Linked DNA regions of Drosophila melanogaster. The protein of the gene in region 1 purifies or fractionates together with the protein of each later gene. This does not show direct contact. Each region holds a gene or a part of one and is shown in the gene's direction. Other genes may lie near its edges.

Region 1 (8,537 bases):
AATAATATGACTAAGGACCTAGATATAAACAATGTACCAAGCAACACACTAAAACACATTTTGGTGTAGAATTTAAATTAACTACTGAGACATGTGTGAGCAAGGCGCTCAAATCGATTTTAGTTCCATATTGTTGTACGAGGTTTCATTGAATTGAAACAAGGCAGTTGAATAGCCTAAACAAATATTTTCCTTTTATTTATAAATTATGTAATAAACAAAATATGCTTTTAGTGCGATCAAACGATAACAAAACATTTTTGCATTTATCATTCCCTAAATTGGGTGGGTTACACATAAATTTGGGGACTTCACTTAATCGTAGTACCAGTCCAAGAAGAGCAGGGAGAACGACATGACCAGCAGGAAGAACAGCGACCACACGCGTAGTCCTGCATTTCGTTGAGTGGCCTGCCGGATTTGCTCGTTGGCGTCCTTGACGTTTTCCGTGGTGCCCACGACGGCACTAACTATCCTGTCGATATTGTGCTGTTGCATGGCGACCTACAAAAGGGAAAGGGAAATTTAAGAGGATTAAATGAGATTAGGACGTGGATCTATCTGGATCTAGTTAATAATTAATTGCATGCTAATAAGAGCCCGGCTTATACATCCATTGTAATCGCGAAGGATGTGGATTTTAGCGAAGCCAATTAATATTTTTAATTGAAGGATTAAGTCGACAAACATATGGGCAGCCACTTAAACCCACTAAGTATTCTTGGCAATATGGAGCAATATGTTCTCACCAAAATTAAACTAAAGATATCGTTGTTAAGAACAGCAAGGATTCCTTGGGACTTGTGTTATCATGCCATCTTACCTTTTCGGTGAAAATGTCCTGCAGTTGGGCAATGTCTACCACGTTCTTTTCGATCTGCTCCACCTCCTCGGAGACGCCCTGCAGAAAGTTGTAGATGTGTACGTTCTCCGCCTCGAAGAGCTGCACATCCTCGGCGCTTAGGGGATCGTCATCGTCGGCCTCCTGCTGCTGCTGGAGCTCCTCATCCAGAGCCATCTTGGAGGATGAGTTGTTCAGATCCGATCTGTTGGCTTTGCTTCGTTTGCGCGTACGCGGTTTGTGTTGATTGGCCTGATTGGCTTCCTTGCCCTTCTCGCCATCGTGATCGTCCACCTCGTCGCCTTCCTCGTCTTCATCCCAGTCGCCCCAGGCGTCGTTATTCCAGTCATTGTCGGCGGACTCGTCGTGGTTGCCATTTGCTTGTGAAGATGACTTCGTGGCTTCGCTGTCATCGTTGCTGACCTGGCGCCTGCCCAGCTTGCCACTGTTGCTGCCCGCCGGACGCACTGGTATCTTCTTTTTGTCCGCCGCCAGCTTGAGCAGCCTATAGGTTTCCAGTTCGTGTTGCACACGGTACTTCTTTTGGTCCAGATAGATCTGTTCCACGCTGTGCAAATAGCTGACCAGCAGGTCCAGCACGGCGTCGATGTGCTGACGCTCCTGCGGCTTCCGCTTGGCGCTCTTCCAATCGCTGCGCATCTTGGCCAGGTGCTGCGTGTAAAAGGTGACGAACTTCTCCGACTCGCGATCAATCAGATCCCGCTGCGCGTCGGTCATGTGTGCGGCGGACTTGAGGTGCTGGCCAATGCGCATGTAGGCGGTGCGGTTCTCGATCAGCACATTGCGCAGCGAAGTGATCTTGTTGCACACCTCCTTGGCCTGCTTGGCGAAGTCATCCTTTGGGCCAATTGGTCCAGTTTTTGTCGGCACTGTGGCGGGCTTGGCCTTTCCGGCCAGCTCGGCCTTGCGCTGCAGGCGCACCGTCATTACGCTGGCCTTGAAGCTCTGGGTGATGTCCATAGCTATTTGCTATAACTAAGTTTGAAATATTTAACTTTTAAATCCACATCATCGGTCCAACACAATGTGGCCGTTCGTTTAACCGTTTGCAGTGTGACCTTATGATGACCGTTAATATATACCAGTTAGCTAATACTAAAAATAGCTAAATGTTATCGATAAGCATTTCAGTGTTGGCTAATGAATTTTCACCCCCACACTTATAGGTGATTTTTCGCCCAACGGTGTACGGTCACACCATTGGCAGAGCACAAACAAAATACGTACTTTTCTGCTTCCAAAGTGTCGAAAAATCGCAGCGCAGTGAAGTCCAGTGTCCGATGTAAATGGTTAAGTAAAGTGAGTAACAAAGGCCGACACAGAAGCCGCATTATTTGCGCAGTTAGCCGACCATTTGGTAGTGTGCGTGAGTGGCTCCGTCGCAGTGCGTTGGTGTGCGTGTGTGAGCAACCAGTTTCCTTGGATTCCTCATAATCTCCATGTGTGTATATGTAACAAAAACAATAACAATTTAACCAGGCGAATGCAAAACACTCGCAAAGTTGGCCAATACCGGATGAACCTCATCATCATCATCATCTTCCACATATTCATGAGCATGGTCGGCAGTCGAAGCCCCTGAATTCCGATAGCAGCCATTCAGCTCGATTTATTAATAATAATTGCCCATTTGCTCGGAATGTATACACATTTCAGTGACTTCAATTGTTCGTCGTCATTTCACCTTGAATTGCGGGCAAGGTAAGCGTCCAAAAGTCGCTATGGATATCGTTGCGCTTCATTTACCGTATTTACCATATACTCTATAAGAAAGTCGCTCTAAATTCCGGGTGAGCCATGTGCTTTGGGTTTTTTGGTGGATCCAATAGTTACACGTCGACAAGAGAAACAATGGCTTATCTTCTTTGGGAAGGATCCCGAGATAAGCTTGTACATAGTGAGAAATTTTAAGTACTGATAACGAATTTTGAACATTTCATTTGAAAAGTGCATATCGGAAGAATATACACAGATTTAGATTTTTTTTTTTTTTTTGCTATGTAGCTTCATTATAAGATGATTGTCCAAACCAATGGAATATACATACATAAAGTGCCCTACTATTTCGGATGACTAATAATGCATGTAACCGCATCTAGGCTGCTGCCAACAATTTCCCTAATTAATTCTTAAACAACATAACAAACAATAGATGCAATGCAAGACCTTTAAACTGATTAATCGTCAATTTTGATCCACTCACACTTAAGCAACACCGCCGTTTATTTTCTATTATTAATTGCTGCTCGCCAGCGATCAAAGTTTCGCATTCGCGGCTCTCTCCCTTGGTTTTTTTTTTGCTTTTAGTTTTCGCTTTTGTCTGGTTTGTGCAACATCAGCGATCGGCGGGGGAATCACAGTCGCTGGTCTGTTGGTAGATCCATTCGCTATGGATCCCTCAATTTATTACACAATTTTGGGGGCCAGACTGTCAGTAGTCTTTTATCTATCGCGCTCTCCATCGAGCACGTTCGCTTGAACTTTGTTTCGCGTGGGGGAAAGTCGATTCCTTTCTTTCGGGTTGTAGATAAGCAATTAACTACCTTATAGATCTGATAAGCTCTGGCATAGAACACTCTTTTATTTGTAGGAAGTTTGTGCGTATTAACAATAAACATCGAATTGTGTTTCATAAATGCTCACTTCTAATATTATATGGATAATAACAATTTATGAGCTTTATTAAATCAATGTGTAAATTCTAAAACAAATTATTTTCTCTTCAGAACACTGAAAGTGAACTCATCTAAAATCGAAATGAAGTGATGTTTTCTCTTAGCAGCAGTGACTCAGAACCGAAATCTACTCTATGCGAATGTGGTCTCTCGCTGACTAAAGCTAATTATACTATTCGGCTGCACCTCAGCCCATCGTAGCAACGGCTTCCAGTTGCGGCAGGTACGGAGGCAGGGTGTCTAGTCCGCCGGCCACTCGATCAAAGCTGAGGGCATGACGCGGTGAGGTCATCAGCTGACGTACTCCGAAGGCCACGTCCTCACAGCTGCTCCGCTCGCTCGGCTCCAGCTGCCAGCAGTTGAGCAGCAGCTGGTAGAGATCCCCGTAGACGTAGGCTGGCTGCGCCGGACGCACTGCAGCCCGAATGGCCTCTAGAAGCTGTTGGTTACTTGCCACTGCATTGGCATAGGGAGTACCGCCAAGGGCACAGCATTCCCACGCCACGCAGGCCAGGGACCAGACATCAGAACGGGTGGAATGGTGATGCTGATGGCGCAGCACCTCCGGGGCCAGCCACCGGTTGTGGTCTGGCTGCTGGCGAGCAATGTTCATGTAGGGCAGCGGTCCAAAGACGCTCAGTTTTAGCTTGAAATCGCTGGTAACGAAGACGCTGTGCGAGCAGAGCTGTCGATGCACCACCTGGCAGCTGGATAGATAATTCATGGCACTGGCAAGCTCGTAGATCCACTGCAGCACTAGCTGCTCAGAGAGGGAAGTCAAGCGTGGCGACGGTGCCATCAGGCGACTCTCCACCAGTTTTCTCTTTAGACTCATGCGTTGCTGCTCGAAGATTAGGTAGAACCAATCGGGACTTGCTGATACTCCATAGAAATCTAGCAAATGCTCCTGGCGCTTCAATTGAGACAACTGACGTAGTTCTCTCAGCAACTGTGCCTGTGTAGTACCATTCAGATCGTCCAGACAGAGCACGTGCAGGGTGCAATCTCTGGCAAAATCGTTTGTGGAAACCTTTCCGGTTATAATCTCACCAAAGCGTCCGTCTCCGATCACATCGTTCACATTTAGTCGTAGTGCATTCCTTGGTATCCGTTCGTATCCTTCCACCAACTGTTGCAACTGCTGCTTGAAGTTTTCCGGCGAGTGTGGCAGTGGATCGTCCTCCACAAGGTATCCGTTATTTTCCCGCTCGATTATGGGCGTTTGCAGCGTCATCTCGTGCGTATTGCCACCAGTCAATCGTCGCCCGCGGCAGGTCTTGTAGCGCAGATAGAAGTAGGCAATAAGACTGAGCAGGAGGCAGGAGCCGAAGATCACACAGGTGACAGCTAGGGCAACCACCGAGGATTGACCCTTCTCAAAGGTGGCGTAACTAAAGTCGTCTAGGGATGTCACATGCTGGTCGTGAGTTCCACGACTGTACATCGTCTTGGTAACGCCCTCCAGTGTGCTCACCTAGAATATAAATAGTTACAGAGATATTCATTCGAATTTAATGCATTACTCACCAATCCGAGACTGATGTGGACATGTGCATCTGGTTGATCCAACGGCTTATTGGTAAATCGTCCGTAACGCTTGCCATCGCCGACCACAAAGCGCCGGGTGCGATTGTCCTCCGGTCGATCGTAGTCCAATTCGGCGGCTATGTAGTAGGGCACTCCATCTTGTTGAGCCTGCTGCCAGCTGCCCAGGAGCTGGGCATCGAATGGCTGACTCAGGGCGTTGTCCACGTATTCCACGATGACGAGCAGTTTGCTCAGCGGTCCATTGTCATTCCGAATGGGCGACAACTCGATGGTTACAGTGCGGTCAGTCCGGCTGAGGATTTTCGGCTGTGCTGGCACGGGACTTGGAAGGCCCACCTGAAATTTGGAGTAGTAATGTTATTGGTTAGGATTCTCGTTAGAATTCAAGCATTACCAACCTCCGTGGTGGCTTCTATCGAGGCCTGTCCGCATTCAGATTGACCTACTTGGGCATCCTTGCACATGGCTCTCACGGATATGTTGTACAGCGTGGCGGGATGCAAGTCTGTGAGTTCAAACTGCGTTTCCGTGCTCTGCACCATAAACTCAGGCTGCGGGAAGGCGGGCAACGAGGAGTAGGTCTTCAGGACCTGAGCTTTGATCAGGAAGTTGTCCAGTAGCTGGTTGGGAAGCACTGCCTCCGCGCCGCCGGCCAGGAGTAGTTTCCTCGCCTCGTACGCATTCCAGCTAAGGGTCAGGCTGTTCTCCGTTTTGTTCGAGATTCTTAGATGATGCGGACCCGGTTGTTTGGTCAGTATGGTGGAGTAGTACGAGTGCACACCAACTCCGCCACAATACTGCGCTTTGTTGGCCAGGCAGCGAGTGTTGCAGAGCTGTTCATCCTGTTGCTCCTGCGGCTCCAGGACATTTGCACAGAAGCACTTCTCGGAGGCCAGCACGGCATAGTGGTGACCCTGATGCTCGCAGATCTCGATGCAGGTCTGCGGTGTCTTGGCGTACACCGATTCATGGAGAAGATCCGTTCGTGCCGTGTAGCAACCAACGTAGTAGTAGGCAGGTGCTTCCTGGGGGACAGCTGCTCCTAGCGGAAGGCCCAAGCACATGGCCACGAGGCAGCTCGAAAGCCAAATCGGAATTGGGCGGTGTCCGCTGTGTGAACCGCATTCCATGGCTTGCAAATCTCGAATGAGCAGCTAAGCTCCTGCACGCCGGATGACTGATATCCGCCTGGGCTTTCTGTTGCTTCTTTGGGGGCTAGGACTGCCAATTAAACACTTTTCACGGGCAGCCAATTTAGGCAAATTAAAAACTTTTATTCTTTTTCCCCGCTCAACATTTTCCAAGCGCTTCTGCTGCTGCTTCTTCTTCCACTGCCGTTGTTGTTGCTCTCGGCAACCGTGTTTCCATTTCCAGTTGACTAATCGCTCTGCCGACGTCGACGCAGGCCGCACAACTGTTGCTGTTACTCTCCAACACCTTTGTTTACATCGCCCGCTAGTTGCAAAAGCTGCAAGTGTAAGTGGGACAACTGGTGTGTTGCGAAGATCGTCCGTATCTGGCGGCACCGCTCACACACCTGCTGGACAAGCCTGGTTCCAAACGGCATTGCCAGATGTGATTGTTATTTTGAATTTTAAATTCCCATTCAGCGCGCCAAAGTCTCGGACAACAGTTGGTCTTAATTAAGTGGCAATGTGTTAATTGGACAGACGCGATTTTGCTAACGTTGCAGCTGCCGCCGGACCAATTGCATTACCCACCTCCCTTCCACCACGGTGTCTATTCCTATTTTGCCATGTGGCGACGGCAAATGAGAGTTGATCGGAAAAGAGAGAGTACCGCTTCGCTCTCTTTTTGAGGTAGCCGATTCATTGGTGACTTGCGTGTTGTGCTTGCAGTTTGATTTGGTTGACGGTCGCGCTGGTCGTGTATTTATATTCATATTCCCATTCCGCATCCGAATCGGACTCAATTAGACGCAAGCATAACTTTTATGTGGCCTGTATAATCGGGAGTGTGGCATAATTCCCCACCGATCTCTTGTCTTAATGTGGTATGTTCTTCACTTGTTTTGGCTGCGTTTCTAATTAGAATTCAAGTGGTCAAACTGCGTAGCGCGACAAAAGTTGTCGACGTCATCACAACGCAGCTAACGAAATTAATTTTAATGTGTTCCCTTCCTACGGCTTACATACGAACAGTCAACTGTGCTGAATTCGTTTAACCCGATTTGGAAACCCTTTGAGTACACATTCGCCATTTGGTGTGATAAAACCCAAAAGGAACAAATGAATAAGTGATCGTGTTGCAAAAAAACAACACATCAATCAAGAACTTTAATAAGGTCAATAAAATCACCGAAAGACCGGTTTCCGATGAATTTCTTTCCAAGTTATTTTGAGTATCTGAAATAATTGAATATGTTTTCTCCATATGGGCTGTAAAATACACCGTGAAATCTGTTTTAATGTTGAAAGTTTAGTCAGTAGTAGTAGTAATAAACCGGTTTTCTTATCATTTAGTAGCCGTAGTTTCTAAAGTGACAATCAAAACCATATGCCTTTAAATTGTATACTTGTGTCTTCAGCCGAATCTGTTTAGTTTGTTCCTAAAAACAGTTGATTTTATAAGCAACAACTATAGTTTGAAAACCAGATTGCCATATGCTAATTGAATGGTAAGGTTGTATCTAAACATTGATTACTGATTGATTACACATCTACCAAGTACCATTCCTCGGATAGATTGGTACATACATACATATGTACATATATCCCACGCACCTGAACAATCCGCTTACATAGTGCCCCACTGCCCCTTCGGTTGACGTTGACATCTTCTGCGATCGGGGAGCAGCGCATGTTTGGGTTTATTTTTGGCCACCTCTCATAATTGCAGGCCTTTCTGTCCGTCGCTCGTGTCTCGTGGCTGTGCCAAATTTAAATGAACTCACGGCGCAGAGGCTTGCGCAATTAAATGTTGGCCTAGACTCGCAAATTTTCCCTTTGCCGGAAATGGAAAAATCGCTGAAAAACAGAGCAGACATTTTCTCCATACTTATCTAGCTGTCTGTTTATGCTTGCAGTTGACAGGTCGAAATCCAAAAGATTAATAAGAAAGAATTTCCCAACGGAGGCAAAAATAGCCGGTAAAACAGAGACAGCAAACGGAATAGCAGACAAGGATTCCAAACACCATAATGGGCGGATCGGCAGTGCAGGTGATCAACGCCTCCGAGGAGCACACATTTGTGCTCAACGAGGATGCGCTGAGTGAGGTCCTAATGCGGGATGAGGTCAAGGATCGGTTCGTCTGCGTTGTCTCCGTGGCTGGAGCCTTCCGAAAGGGCAAGAGCTTCCTGCTGGACTTTTTTCTGCGCTATATGTATTCAAAGGTGAGTCTTGAAATTGCTGCCACTGCAAGCATCTTCCATTTACCACACTCTTTTGAACATTTTAGTATGTGCATCACGATGCGACAGACTGGCTGGG
Region 2 (6,765 bases), on another chromosome or scaffold:
ATTTGTCTGCTAGCACATTTGGGCATTTTCCAAGAACTCGCGTTTTTCAAAACGGTAGCAAAAAAAAAAAGAGCAGCCCATCTAGTCTATGTATGTATATACTATATACTATAAACATATATTAGTGCTCTGGGTTATCGCGCTGAGTGCAATGACGTATACGCATTAATTCTGAGCCGAATGCATTTTAATGCGAACGAGGAACTTAGCGTGCTAGACTGCGGAAATAATTCACTAGCAGAAAGAGAGGGGCATATTACATTAGACAGAGAGAGAGAGAGAAAGCTGAAGGAGAAAAAGAGATGGAGAGGCTTAAGCTTCAAACACCTTGTTCATACAGTTCGAAAAATACTACAAATTTATAAATATTTTTTATTATATATATGGTATATCTTCTTATAATTTATGTTTTATTTGATAATTTTAATATGATTAAAATTTAAATAAATATTAATCAAATATTTATATCGATTTTTAGCAAAACTGTATACACCACTTTACCATTTACTAAAATTATAAACTTTTAAATAATAAAACCCAATTTTTGTTATTTGAATGTATAAACCATATCAAATTAAAAAACATTCTGCATCTTTTCTGTGTACATATATCAACTCCCATTGTGTTCCCAGTATATCTTCATATTACATCAACAAAAAACTTGTTGTAACTCTGTAGAATGAGAACGTGAAATCCCCAATGGCTGATTTGTTTGGAGAAACAACCGGCCAAACAAGTGGAGCCGAGAGAATATTCGCAATATCAATGGTTTCTCTGGTCAGTTGTCCGAGAAATAGCGTGCCGAGCGGTCGCAAATTGCGCACGAGTTTTTAAACAAAAGCCAAAAAAAAAACAAAATAATAAATAAGCAACAGAGTGATTTGCCCGAGAAGGTCTAGATAAAGAGATACAAAGAAATTCTTAAGGAATCTTGGCATTGAATTGCTCATTTGTAATTGCCCAAAGACATATTAATTGCAATTAATTAATTAATTAATTCAATCGTAAAATGAGTAACCTAGAGCATATTACGCTGGAAATGGATAAAGTGCCACTAGGAGATAATAAAACTTTGGTGAGAAATACAGTGAGTTAAAGTTTCATTATCATTAAACTGGGGGAAGGTAAACAAATTTAAAAAAACCGGTGATTTATTTACTTTACGGATAGATCGTTAAAATGTCTATTTACCTGTACAAAAAACTTATATATGTATATAGTTTCGCACTGCTTGTTAATTTTTGTGTAAACTGCGGAGAATTTCATACAATTTTTCGTGAAAATTAATAGCTCAGGCGGAAAAAACCCGTCACTTAATTTTAGAAATAAATTCATAGTTCTGCATTTTTTAAGATATACGATTTTAAAAATTCATATTAAATTGCTGAACTATGAGTATTTTTACTAAGTTTTTAAGCAAACAATCATAGCTAGAGTAGCTTAATGTTTGCTGTATGTATCATTTGTCTAATTTTTTAGCTAAATAAAAGAGAAATCTCATAAATCTGTCGTTTTGCTGCAGGGAAAATCTATTTCTGTGACTCATAGCAACTGGCAGACTTAAAAAATATTTTTCAATTGCAACATTTTCTTGCAAATAGAGCATGATCATAGAATTTAGCCCAGTTACTTAATATTACTACTTTCTTATCGTTTGAAATACTATTTTATTTATGAAAAAAATCACGTTTGTCGCAATTTTCAAAGCATTTGTGTCCCTGAAGCTTATCGTTTTTTTTGTGTTCGAAGTTACTGAACAGTTGTAAAACATATTGCAAGTACATAATCCTACAGATAAAAACTACTTAGCATATAATTGCATTAATCAAAACTTGCACAGAACAGAAGCTGTGCGCCGTTTGGCTAAATGAATTTGCATTTTGAGACAACAATGGATTTGCAAGCAAAGTTGTTAATATTCCGGAAATGATTTTATTGAAATTTTACAGGAAAATATCAGCAAACACAGCTATGGCGGTGCAATCGACGGACGGACACGTAATACTCTTCGAGTGCCCAGAGCAGGTTCGTATGCCAACTTATTCGTTTATCTTCAAAAAGAAACAAAAAGTTAGAACATTTTTCTGTGCTTGTCTATGTTTTTTAATTGTGCTTGTGACTAATGCTGCTTAAAACCGCGCTCTTTAAACTATTTGGGTAAATCACAATTGATGGTGTAAGTAGCTTAAGCTGGTGGTAATCGATTTTAAGTGACTTAATAATTTGCTTCATTTGTAGTTCCCGAAACCGATGATGATGACAACGACGATCGTCCCTTTGTTAAAGATGGCAATGATAATCCCGGCGTGGATGACGGTCTTTTTTCAACTGTTGGAGGCAACGGAGGCAACGGCGGCAATGTGAATGTAAACGTTCCCAATGGAGGAAGACGACCCAGTTTCTCCTTTCCGGGATACAATGGACCCGGTTTTGTGACGATCAACGGCGTGGAGACACCCATACCCGATGTGAATGCATATCAGCACAAGAAGACCCTGGCTCAGGGAATGATGGACCTGGCACTTCTCTCCGCGAATGCAAATCAATTGCGTTATGTTCTGGAGACGAGCTCACAACATCCTTACTTTTATCCCAGTCTGCTGTTCATCTCACTCAGCATTATATTCCAGGTAAATTTCTATAGGTGCAAATAATGCATATATTTGTAAAATCAAGCTTAAATATCCAATGAACGCAAGATTTGATAAGTAAATTCCACACATGTATAACTTACATTTCTAAACTATCAGAATATTCTTAAGATGATAAGAAAATTCATTAAAAACAAATATATACAAAGTAATCAAAGGTTTTAGCCCATTTATTGTAGTATAAAAACAAAGTAGTTTATCTTAACCAGATTTCACTGTTTTGCTTAATAACCATATTTTTGATGACACACACTCATAATTTCTTTGTCATTTCAGATTGCTGTGGGCGTGGGCCTTATATTGAATGGCCAGTATAACATCAAAAACGGTCACGATATCTGCCGGGCGAACAGGATCAATAATTATACAGTTAGCGGCATTTTTATAGTCACTGTGGTCAATGTTCTAATATCAGCCTTTACTGTGGACAGAGATACTGTGCCTGCTTTACCCGCCAATACAACATAGTTTAACTTGTATTTTAAATAGACTTTAGTATTATGAACACACAGATGCATCTTTAGATAATACTCACATTGTTCAAACCTTGTTAAATTTCACTCAGCGACTCATTTTTCTAAACGCAACAATGAATTGTGATAAATAAAATCCCACGAGCATTTCTCGCTTATTTAAATAACTGAAATGCTGTTTTTCTTACTTTTGGGCGTTTTAAGTAAGAAATGAATAAACTTTCTTAAATGTTATAAGATACGTTCACATTAATATTAAATACTTATAAACCAGTTGTTCTTTGGATATTCTTTGTTATTAATATTAAATTCTAATAACTCAAATGCAATTCTATTTATACTATTTAAATCAATTTTTGGCGCCAAACTATCGTTTAGTTGCGATAGTTTACGTAGTGGCATTTCACAGCACTGTGTTATAGCCTCGACACTTCACAGCACTGGGCAACAGCTGTTACAAAATAAAGTCGTGCGGAAAATTAAGCATTTTCGGCTAAAAGTCTATTGCAAACATGGCCAAGATCATTAAGGCGGTAAGTTCAAGGAACTCAAGTGAAGCACCTGCTCGAGAACCTACAAAAGAGAAATGACCGACTAATCCCCGCTTGAGTTTCGCGGCGTTTCTTCAATTGTTATTGTTATGTCATCGCTTCCTTCTGCAGTCCACAGGTTTGACTGGACTCGCCGTGTCCACCAATCCACACCACACGCTGAGTGCTCTGTATGGCAAGATTCTGCGGGCGGTGTCCAAGATGCCACAGGACGCCAGCTACCGCAAGTACACGGAGCAACTGGTCAAGCAGCGCGCCGATTCTGTGGCCCAAGTAAGATTATTTGGAAACTTTGCTAATTTGGGTTTACCAAGTGGATGGTACCTTCATCAAAGCATATGTAGCACCTATATAGACCGTGCAACCAAGATACAGATCCTTACACTTGTTATTTGTATTAAAGACTGTTATTTTCTTGATCATCCTCCAATTTCCTTTTTTTTAATACAATCTCTAACTTTCTCACCCGCAGCACAAGGACATCACTGCCCTGGAAAAGGCCGTCGGTTGCGGTCAAGTGGAGGAGCTAATTGTCCAGGCCGAGAACGAGCTGATCCTTGCGCGCAAAATGCTCGGCTGGAAGCCCTGGGAGAAGTTGGTCCAAGCCGCGCCTGCCAAGCAGTGGGACTGGCCACCAGCCCAGATCATGGAGCCCAAGGTTTAGATTCACACTTAGTACTAATTAATCTACAGCAAATCGAAATGAGAAGAGAGCAATAAATCCGTTGATAAGCCAGTGGCTTTATCAGCTAAAAAATAATTGAGCTTTAATCAAATGAATAAACCTGGAACAGCACCACAAGATCAGCCACATTCAAGCAATCGATCCACTGACGATCTCAGTTCGTTTTCAACATGCGTGCGCTTCAGTACCTTCTGCTACTGCTCGTCATCTCCATCGGCTTGGCGGCATCGGTGCCTCGCCAGCGTCGTCAGATCGATCTCACGGTTTCGGCGGAGCACGACGACAACGATGAGGAGACGGAACTGGCTCTGGAGGCCATCGCCGGGCTATGGAGCAGTGCGGACAGTCGGACGAAGATCGATGGCTCTGCCAGCCTGGTGCATCGAACACATGGAACACAATCGGGTACGGGCAGCACCAGATACCAGGCCAAACTGCATCTACACCATGACTATAAGACCAATGCGTATCCCTCGTAATCCAAGGTTCGGAGCAGGACTTTCGCGTGGGCGTGCGTATTACATTCGACAAATAGAGCCGTGAGAATTCCAGACATCAGCAGGCGGGCGGCCGGGGACAAAATCGAGCGATTGCGTGAGGAGACAGACGGCCACTGTATAAACAATCCCACTGACGATAGATAACATTTTGACCTTCTCGGGCTTGGCTTTGTTGGAAATATATATAGAACGTTTGTGAAAATACAATATACCCGCATAATGTTCGCTTTATTGATTCCATTTTAATCGCCCTCTCCGGTTTTCTCGACCGTGAAGCGGCGCGCAACAAATTTCAGCTTAAAATTACAACTAGAACAACGAATTTGCACAACAATGATGAGGTGGACAGGAGGAGAGTATATAATAAATACAAGCCATTTCTTAAGTATAAATGCCATTAGTCAAAGTGGTTTGCAGGGTGGGGGCTCCAGGCATCGGGGTCACGAAAAGTAATCTATGGTCTACTTTCATTGGAAACATTGGGTCAAGTTCGCTGGCTAAGCAATTGTTTACTAACAATATTCTGCTGCTGACAAAGTATTTTTCACAATATAAGCAAAGTTTGTCCTAGAATTCAAAAATAGTCTGCTTCTACATAAAACTAAAATCTTGATATTGCTCTTATATATGCGATTATTGAATGGAGAGTATTATTTCTATTTTATTTAAGAAAACTATTAGTTAAAATATGAAGTTTGATATTCTGTATCTTCGGAAAGTTTTTAAGTTTCTCTTATAAGCTAAATTCTTTACAATATGCATAAAGAGTACCTGGTTTTCCTATAGCTTCCTGCCGTTTCCAATGATAAGTTTTCTATAATTTACTTTTCCTGTCGTCGATCAGTTCACAAACAATTTCTACCCCCACCCCATTGAGGTTAATATCATTCTACATTCGTCCGCAAAATGCTTCGCCTTAATTCAAGTTAACTGATACTCCCTGCTTCTGCTGCTCCTTGAGTTCCTGGACGACAAAGTTGCGGAATTCCTCGTAGGCCACATCGATGTCCACGTTATTGATGATCTTGTGGAAGTTGCCGGGCGTCAAACCATAATCGAGCTCCACCTGAGCGGCATTGAGGCGCTTGCTCAGCGACTCCTCCGTTTCGGAGCCACGTTTGCGAAGTCGTCGCTCCAGCTCCTTGATGCTCGGTGGATTGTTGAATATCAGTATGGGATTGAGATCCGTACGCTTGATCTGCTCCACTCCCTTCTGTTCGATGTCCAGTATGCAGACCCGTCCCTGTGCCTGGATCTCTCTAACCGCCGCCTTGCTCGTTCCATAAAGATTGCCCGTAAACTCGGCCGTCTCGATGAACTCGTCGCCAGCGATGGCTGCCTCCATTTCCGGACGTTCCACAAAATAGTAGTGCACGCCATGCTCCTCGCCCTCACGCGGCTTCCGCGTGGTGTGCGATATGCTGAAGCCAAAGGTGCTGGGGAATTCGGCGAATAGCCTTTTCAGCAGCGTACTCTTTCCGGATCCCGAGGGACCGCATAGGACAAGGGGGCGTGGCCCGGGGGCGGTCATCTTCTTGCTCGTTAAGGATGCCGCTGCACTGCTACTGCTGCTGCTGCTGCTGAGCGCCCGATTTACAATGAACAGAAAGCTTATCATCGCGTGGCCTTTTATTCGCACAGAACAGCACCAACAACACAAATGGGGGCCAAAAAAGCTGGTTTAGTTCTTTTTGCTATTTGGCTTTGGCTAAATTAAGAGAAGTGGGCGTGCTTGTGCATGTGTGTGTGCGCCAGCGGTGGGCGAAAGTCGATACATATCGATAGGCCAAGCAGTGCGATAAATGTTCAAAATTTGTATTGAAAAAATGGTTCTTTTGAATTTGAACAAATAAGTTGAATATCTAATTGAATATTTAAAATTAAGTTATTTAAAAGCTGTATAAT
Region 3 (6,795 bases), 4.9 Mb from region 1:
TCACTGCTTTCCCACTTAGGCAGCAACCACTGTAGCTGTGATCGAATTATTCGCAAATTAAGCAGAAACAGCAGACGCTTGCCACGCCCCCAAGTCGCCAAAAACAAAGGGGCGGTGCTGCTATGGTCGAACTCATCTGAACTCGAGCGAAAAGTCGACGACGGATGAAGCTTTTGTTCCCGTTGACTTGATGCCGCGGCGTTTGTCAGGCGATTAGATAACATTTGCCATTAATTGCCGGCAATTAATTATGGAGCTCCGCTTTAAAGTAGTTATTATAATACCGAACTGTCAACACCTACTTGTGATGGCCGAGAGGAGCTAATGGCCCTCCCCCTCCCTTCAGATGCTCCAATCTCCTTCCTTGCCAGCGATGGCATTTCAGTTGCTTTCTAGCTAAATGGCATAATAACCACAAAACCCATTTAACCTTCATGAAGTGTTGTGTATATCACACGAATATATTAATCATTCATTATATATTGTTTTCAGCGCTTTTTAAAGTACTTCGAAGCATCTTCTCAGATGTATGTATCTTTAATGTGAATGGTGAGTATTTTTGGCTGAAATATCTTACTTACTTAATTTTCCCAGAACTGTTAGCTACTATTTTGGAGTTTTTCCCCAAGCCAGCATCATCACCACCACTGCACCCCCCCCACATTCCTCATTTGGGTGGTCGGCCACTCGGACTCGGGGAGTTGGAAACTCGTTTGTCCCGCTTCACGTGGATGGGATGTGTAAATGTATGTTAATTTGGCGATCGTTAAATACGAAAATTTGTTGGCTTTATTGTCAGCTGAGACCGGGCTCTTTGTCTTTTGCATCTTTAATTGGTTGGCTGGTTAAGCCATATGGTCTCGATCTGATTTGTTAGCGTTAAAACCTGTGGTAGCTTTGCGTTGGCTTCTTGTGTGGGGCTCTTAAATTAGCGTTAATCGGCCGGACATAAAGGCTTAATTGCGGCTTATCGCTGGCTACAGCAAGTTGATAACAAGGAAATGCCGTAATAAAGAAATTAAAATGGCTGAATACACGGGGAGAATGTTTCTACTTCTTGTTGCACAACATTGTTGCAGCTAAAGCATCAGCAAACACTTGGGATATGTTTTTCGGATTCCCCAACCCCATTTTTCAAAAAAAAACATTGGCACAATTGGAATTTAATGGAGTCAATTTGGTGCCTGGTGATGCATAAACTGGCCAAAAGCAGTGGATTGGTGTGAGCACTCTCTTGAATGCAAAGAGCTTCCAATGGAAATGGAATGCTGCAGATGCTGCACTGCACTGGCAAAAATAAAGGAATGCCTATCTATTATTTGTAGCTCCAGCTGGCTACGATTCTTGGTGTGCAACTGCAAAGCCTCTGCTTATATTTCTCTCAGTGTACTGGCCAAGTTGCTCCTGCTGGCCGCTAACAATGCAGATCAAGAGATGAGCGCGTCCATTTCGGTCTGCGGATCGCCATTGTTCCGCTTGGCATGTTGTTGTTTTAGGAGCTCGCTAAAAAGACAAATGTGGTGTGCGGATGCGGATGTGGATGCGGGGGAGTTGCTCCTGACTTAGTAAGGCTCTCCAGTTCGAGCTAGTAAGCCAGCCAGCCAGCCAGCGCGTGTTAGTTCCACTCGTTAAGGATTTACGAGCAATTTTTATCACTTTGAGGATCGCTGACAAATCCGGCAACAACAATGCAATGCAACATGCGCATAATAATGGCAAGTTGTCCGGCATACAGCGTGTATATAAATACATATATATATATGTGCTGGTTGGGATATATGCCATGGCTATGTGCTATGAGCCATGAGACAGGAAGCGCACTCGGCTGTCTCATCGTTGTCGCTGATGTGGCCAAAAGTGGCCAATAAAACCCCAGCGACGATGTCACCGGGCAGCAACAATTGCAGTTGCTGTTGCAGTTGCAGCAGCGATGACGACGAATTATAGCAAAGTAATCGCAGTGGACTCTCCAGTTGCCAGTGCATCCTTTGTCCACCTGGATCATACCCTTTCAAGGAGTAGGATATGCCAAAGCCAACTCTGAACTACCATTTATATATAAGTATTACAATCATATCATATCATGCCATAAATCAATTTATACTCTATACTAATCAAGTACGAGGTCAATTTATATATTTATTACATTTATCTATCCACATTGAAAGCTATAGAGTATTCTGAGTTTCCCAACTTTATTTTCCTTTCCACCTTACTTATTTATTTCGCATCTTTCCCCCTTATTTTTTTTTTGTACATTTTCCTTGGCCAATATCGTTGGCGGCTTTTGGCGTTGATTTCCCTTCCAATTTATGTGACATATTGATTTTAAATTGATGATAGTCTATTTTGCGTTGGCCAGCCAACGGAGGAGCGAACAAAGCCGAACGAAACCAATTTATTTTAGCCATTTTAAATTGGCATTTTCGCCGGGTACGCAGCAGCGTTCGCTGCATTTGGCCAATGCGTTCGGGCCAGGCTCATATGACTTCATCAGCGGTTTATTGTCGACGGAGACGAGCTGGCTGGATAGCTTATGGTCTTCTGGGCGTCTGAGCTTCTGGCCTTCTGCTTTTCTGGCTGGGAAAATGGCAGCATACTGGCCTGCCTGCTCCATTCATAGGTGCGCATTTAAATGCAAATTTAATTCAATTAATGATGCATCAAATGCAGCCAATGCCTAATTGCCATGCGATGATCGTCGTCGTCCATGTCCCGCGTATTTATTTTCATTTCATTTCGTTTTATTTCATTTACTTTTTCTATTGCCCATCCTGCAGGATTCGCAGCAGAAGCCGCAGCTGCCGCTTGACAATATGGATGATTTAGTAGTCGCTGCCGTTTGGTTGTCGTGTCTGAGGCACCATAGGCGTAATTAGACAAGCATTGTGCAAAAGCGTTAATTAAAAACCACAGAGACACACAGCCAGTTGCCATTTTTCCACCGACTATTGACTGCCAGCTGCGCCAGCGCCACGACTTCAATCTCACACTAGGAGATACATTTGCAGCAGCCACAAAACTGTAGAAGTTCACTGCTCATTTGCTCTAAAAACTATAAGATACATTTCGGAAAAAATGTAACTATATTGAACAGTTTATGAAAAGTTACTACAAGATACAGTTTAAAACTGGTCAGCTTCATTTTACAGACTTTGCTTTAGAATCTACCCTTTAAAGTGCACAGTTTTTTTTTAATATGATTTACTTACAATTTCTTTCATTTAATGTAGAATGTATTCCTTTGCCAAAAGATCTTTTTTTTGCAAGTGCAGCTCCGCGGTGTCGATTCCGTAATGAGCCAGCGCATCGATTGCGTAAGTTCTCCGCGGATGCATCTGCTCCCAGTTTCCAGGGCCCATTCCCATTCCCATCTCTCGAGTTGCATGTCCCCAGGTCCTCGAGTCCCATTAGTGCACCCGTGCAGCGGGGATGTGGATGGTGATGGCGCTGCAGCAATCAGCTAATAATTTCCTCCTAAGCGATCTGTACTCAAGCATCCATGGCGCATGAATGGGAGCTCCATGCTCATGCGTATTTATGAGCTTCATGGATTCCTGTTCGCTGTCCGCCCAGCGTTGAGTGCCTGGGATTTCGGATTGATTTTGACGCCAATCGGTGGCGTCAGGGGAATCCAAATGGGATTTACAAGAGCTTATATACATTGTAGAAGCCAAAGTGTTAAAAATGTTACATAGCTCAGCCTCAGAAAAAGTTGTCAAACCTTCAATATAGCTAGCAATATCTAAAAGTTCAAAGTAAGTTTTCACATTTTCCATGCATTGCTACATCGCAAAATAAATTAAGTATCTTCAGGATGATAAGTTTCCTGAAATTGGCCAGGAATCCTGGCCAGCTGCTGCTGCCTGGCAGTGGAGTGCTGCAATCCCAGTGGCTTCGTGGCCAGAAGACCATGCCGGTGTACGATTACCGTTGCCAAAATCCGCCAAAGTGGGGCTACTCGGCCTTCGGACGCAACCAGAAGACCTGGGGCGAGTGGACCTGTGCCAGGTTGGATGACCTGCTAAACTGGGGACGCAAGGGATCCCTCTGGCCGCTGACCTTTGGTCTCGCCTGCTGCGCCGTCGAAATGATGCACATTGCGGCTCCTCGCTACGACATGGATCGCTACGGTGTGGTGTTCCGAGCATCTCCTCGCCAGGCGGACGTGCTCATCGTGGCCGGAACCCTGACCAACAAGATGGCACCGGCCTTTCGGAAGATCTACGACCAGATGCCCGAGCCGAGATGGGTCATTTCCATGGGCAGTTGCGCCAATGGTGGCGGCTACTACCACTACTCCTACTCGGTGGTTCGCGGCTGCGATCGCATTGTTCCGGTGGACATCTACGTGCCCGGATGTCCGCCCACCGCCGAGGCCTTAATGTACGGAATCCTGCAGCTGCAGAAGAAGGTAAAGCGCATGAGGACCCTGCAGATGTGGTACAGGAAGTAGAGAATATTCTTGTAAGGAGTTCAGTAAATAAATGATACCTTGTTAAGTAAAGTGTTTTTGGGGTGGTGCAACCGATAAGTAGAGTTGGGCTTAAATCGATCCTAACCTAATCCGATCTCTGCCTTACCCAAAACGAAGTCAAAGAGTTAAGCGCATCAGTTCCAGCAACTACACAAGATTCCTGGCTCAGAAAGTCGCTTAGTCAGCGGAATAGGGCTCGTGCTCACCTGCAAGGATCGGTTTCATGTCCCGCAAAGGACCTCTTGAAGCGAGTCCTGCAGACAATGCGCGGAGACAATAAACACTTCTGACGGCACTGTCTCTCAAGTGGCGATGAAATATGAAGGGTTCTTGAGGCATATGAAAGGATTTCGTTGTTTCACATTTTTTCGAGCCAGCCCGAAAATCCTTTTTGCGAATCTGGCGACACCGAGCACTTGAACTTGGTGGGAACATCATTAAATCCCCGTTCGAGTGCGGTGAGTGCATTAAATTGTGGGACAACTATCGCATTAGTGTAATCCATGTGCGACACACCCACAAAACTGGCAGATCCTCGGCTTGAATGGAAACTCTCGAGAGTGAAGGACTTGAATGAATGAGTATCTCCTCTCATTCAACGAGCGGCGAGAAAAGGACCTGCACACTCTGAAAATCTGGACAAAGGCGCAGCAGGCAGCCCGCTGATCTTCGGGGATCCTGGGAATCCTCTCGTGACTCGCACAATTCCTGCGAATAAGAATGACTGCGTGGGGAAATTAACTTGTCTCAATCGCACAGCAATAAAAATTAATAACAAAGCCACTGGCAACTTGTTCGCCTCCATTGTGCAGGCATTAAATAAATTTAACAGCTCAATGACTTGTCGAAAGGTGCTGGGAGAATCCAGGGGCTCCAGGGGCTCCTGGGTTGCTGCAGAATCGAAATCAGTGGACCGTTCGCAGCCAGGCGAGCATATCTTAATTAGCAGACCCCGGCCCACATTAACCTTAATTTTGCTCTGTTTTATTTTACCGATTTCTGCTTAATTGCGGCGCCGAGGCGCCAACGAAAAAGCTTCGCAAGTGCACAGGCAAAATGTTGTTAACAACTTGCTTGGAAAGTGAGCTCAGTTAATCAGTAAGAATATTCAAGAGAAACTCATTGATTTAAGTTGCTGCGTATATCTACATTAGTTTCAGATTTTTTTTTTCGATTTTTTTCAGTGCACTTGCAGCGACTTTTCGCTGGGATTTCCAGTGGAGTGTCCAGCGACGCATGCTCAGGATTTGCACTTGAGTGAAAAGCTGGTAATCTGGAGACGGGGCCACGACCACCGTGGTGGGTGCTACCTGCATATCCACAGCTCGCCAGCGATTGCAGCCCCTTTGCTGGGCAAAATGAGTGGGTTCGGCCAATGTTCCACGGGCAATAAATTACGTCAGAGGCAGATCGGGCAGAAATGCCCAACGAATTGTGTGTGTTTAACACCTAATCGCCCGTTATGCTCGCCATCCGATTGTGAGGTCCTCCAAAAAGTGTTCAAAAACAAAAAAAAATAAGGAGACTGACTCGCCGCCAAAATGGGTGCAACAATAGCGATTCAGAAAGCAGCATCTAGTGTTCATTCATTCATTCATTCATTCAATCGTTCAGTGCCCCAGTGTGGCACTCATTCATTCATGCCTCATAATGAAATTGTTGGATGCGTCTTCTTCGGTTCTTTCCCATTTTATTTGAGCATTGTGAGCTGGCGGAGATTTATGTTCATGAATGTAAATGCCTTCTTCAAATCTTTTTTATTGGCATTATGCGGAATTGATTTGTTGCCTCGTTGGGCTCTTTCATAAAATTATTATCACACCTTGGGAATTCGAGACCAGACCTGAATCTGATCTGATCTCCTTTCTTTTGGGCAGAGTTATTAAGCTGATTTTAATTGCGTTCCGTGCGTTTGGCTGCTTTGATCGGGTCTCGTAAATCTAATTTAGTGTTCTTCGAAATTTAGACGTTTCCTAATTATGCAACGAACAAATGCCAAAGATCTTCTTCTTCTGAGTGGGGCGATGTTTTGTGCCTTGTTTTCGATCGGATTTGATTGAAATTTATCGCCAGTGCATTGACTACAGATCCGAAATCTTGCGCTAGGGCGTTGTCCAATATGGCTTACATAAATATCTTGGCCCTGACCAATCTTGGCCCAAAGTTATGGGAAGTCGTCAGCGCGCTAAGCCGTTATGGATACTTTACAAAGCCATAACGATGAGATCTTGACATTAGTTATTCCGGGCTTGTTTCGGTCTTCCAGCGATCATTTGTTAAATAAAAGTGAAAATTTGTTATTTGTTGCACTCGGCTAG

What was found. Proteins that work in one complex are often made in the same cells at the same time.
Region 2: the proteins of atl (region 1) and ND-13B purify together in Drosophila melanogaster (affinity purification with mass spectrometry, with the first as the bait; one large-scale study listed by BioGRID). This does not show direct contact.
Region 3: the proteins of atl (region 1) and ND-20L purify together in Drosophila melanogaster (affinity purification with mass spectrometry, with the first as the bait; one large-scale study listed by BioGRID). This does not show direct contact.

The regions. Positions count from the first base shown.
Region 1 is NT_033777.3:24,623,652-24,632,188, forward strand, and holds the start of atl (atlastin), read left to right. Parts: upstream 1-2,019; 5' UTR 2,020-2,161; intron 2,162-3,414; exon of another isoform or gene 3,415-3,724; coding exon of another isoform or gene 3,725-5,011; intron 5,012-5,064; coding exon of another isoform or gene 5,065-5,421; intron 5,422-5,483; coding exon of another isoform or gene 5,484-6,215; exon of another isoform or gene 6,216-6,424; intron 6,425-6,639; exon of another isoform or gene 6,640-7,099; intron 7,100-8,131; 5' UTR 8,132-8,245; coding exon 8,246-8,440; intron 8,441-8,505; coding exon 8,506-8,537. Other genes in the region: Syx18 (syntaxin 18), read right to left, coding at 316-504, 824-1,822; wsck, read right to left, coding at 3,725-5,011, 5,065-5,421, 5,484-6,215. UniProt on the Drosophila melanogaster protein: Membrane-anchored GTPase that mediates the GTP-dependent fusion of endoplasmic reticulum (ER) membranes, maintaining the continuous ER network. It facilitates the formation of three-way junctions where ER tubules intersect.
Region 2 is NT_037436.4:10,690,889-10,697,653, reverse strand, and holds ND-13B (NADH dehydrogenase (ubiquinone) 13 kDa B subunit), read left to right. Parts: upstream 1-3,545; 5' UTR 3,546-3,636; coding exon 3,637-3,657; intron 3,658-3,786; coding exon 3,787-3,948; intron 3,949-4,147; coding exon 4,148-4,339; 3' UTR 4,340-4,470; downstream 4,471-6,765. Other genes in the region: NijA (ninjurin A), read left to right, coding at 1,010-1,087, 1,950-2,025, 2,239-2,630, 2,928-3,119; CG33493 (uncharacterized protein), read left to right, coding at 4,531-4,839; CG11811 (uncharacterized protein), read right to left, coding at 5,777-6,478.
Region 3 is NT_033777.3:29,512,028-29,518,822, forward strand, and holds ND-20L (NADH dehydrogenase (ubiquinone) 20 kDa subunit-like), read left to right. Parts: upstream 1-3,689; 5' UTR 3,690-3,758; intron 3,759-3,785; exon of another isoform or gene 3,786-3,816; 5' UTR 3,817-3,817; coding exon 3,818-4,456; 3' UTR 4,457-4,500; downstream 4,501-6,795.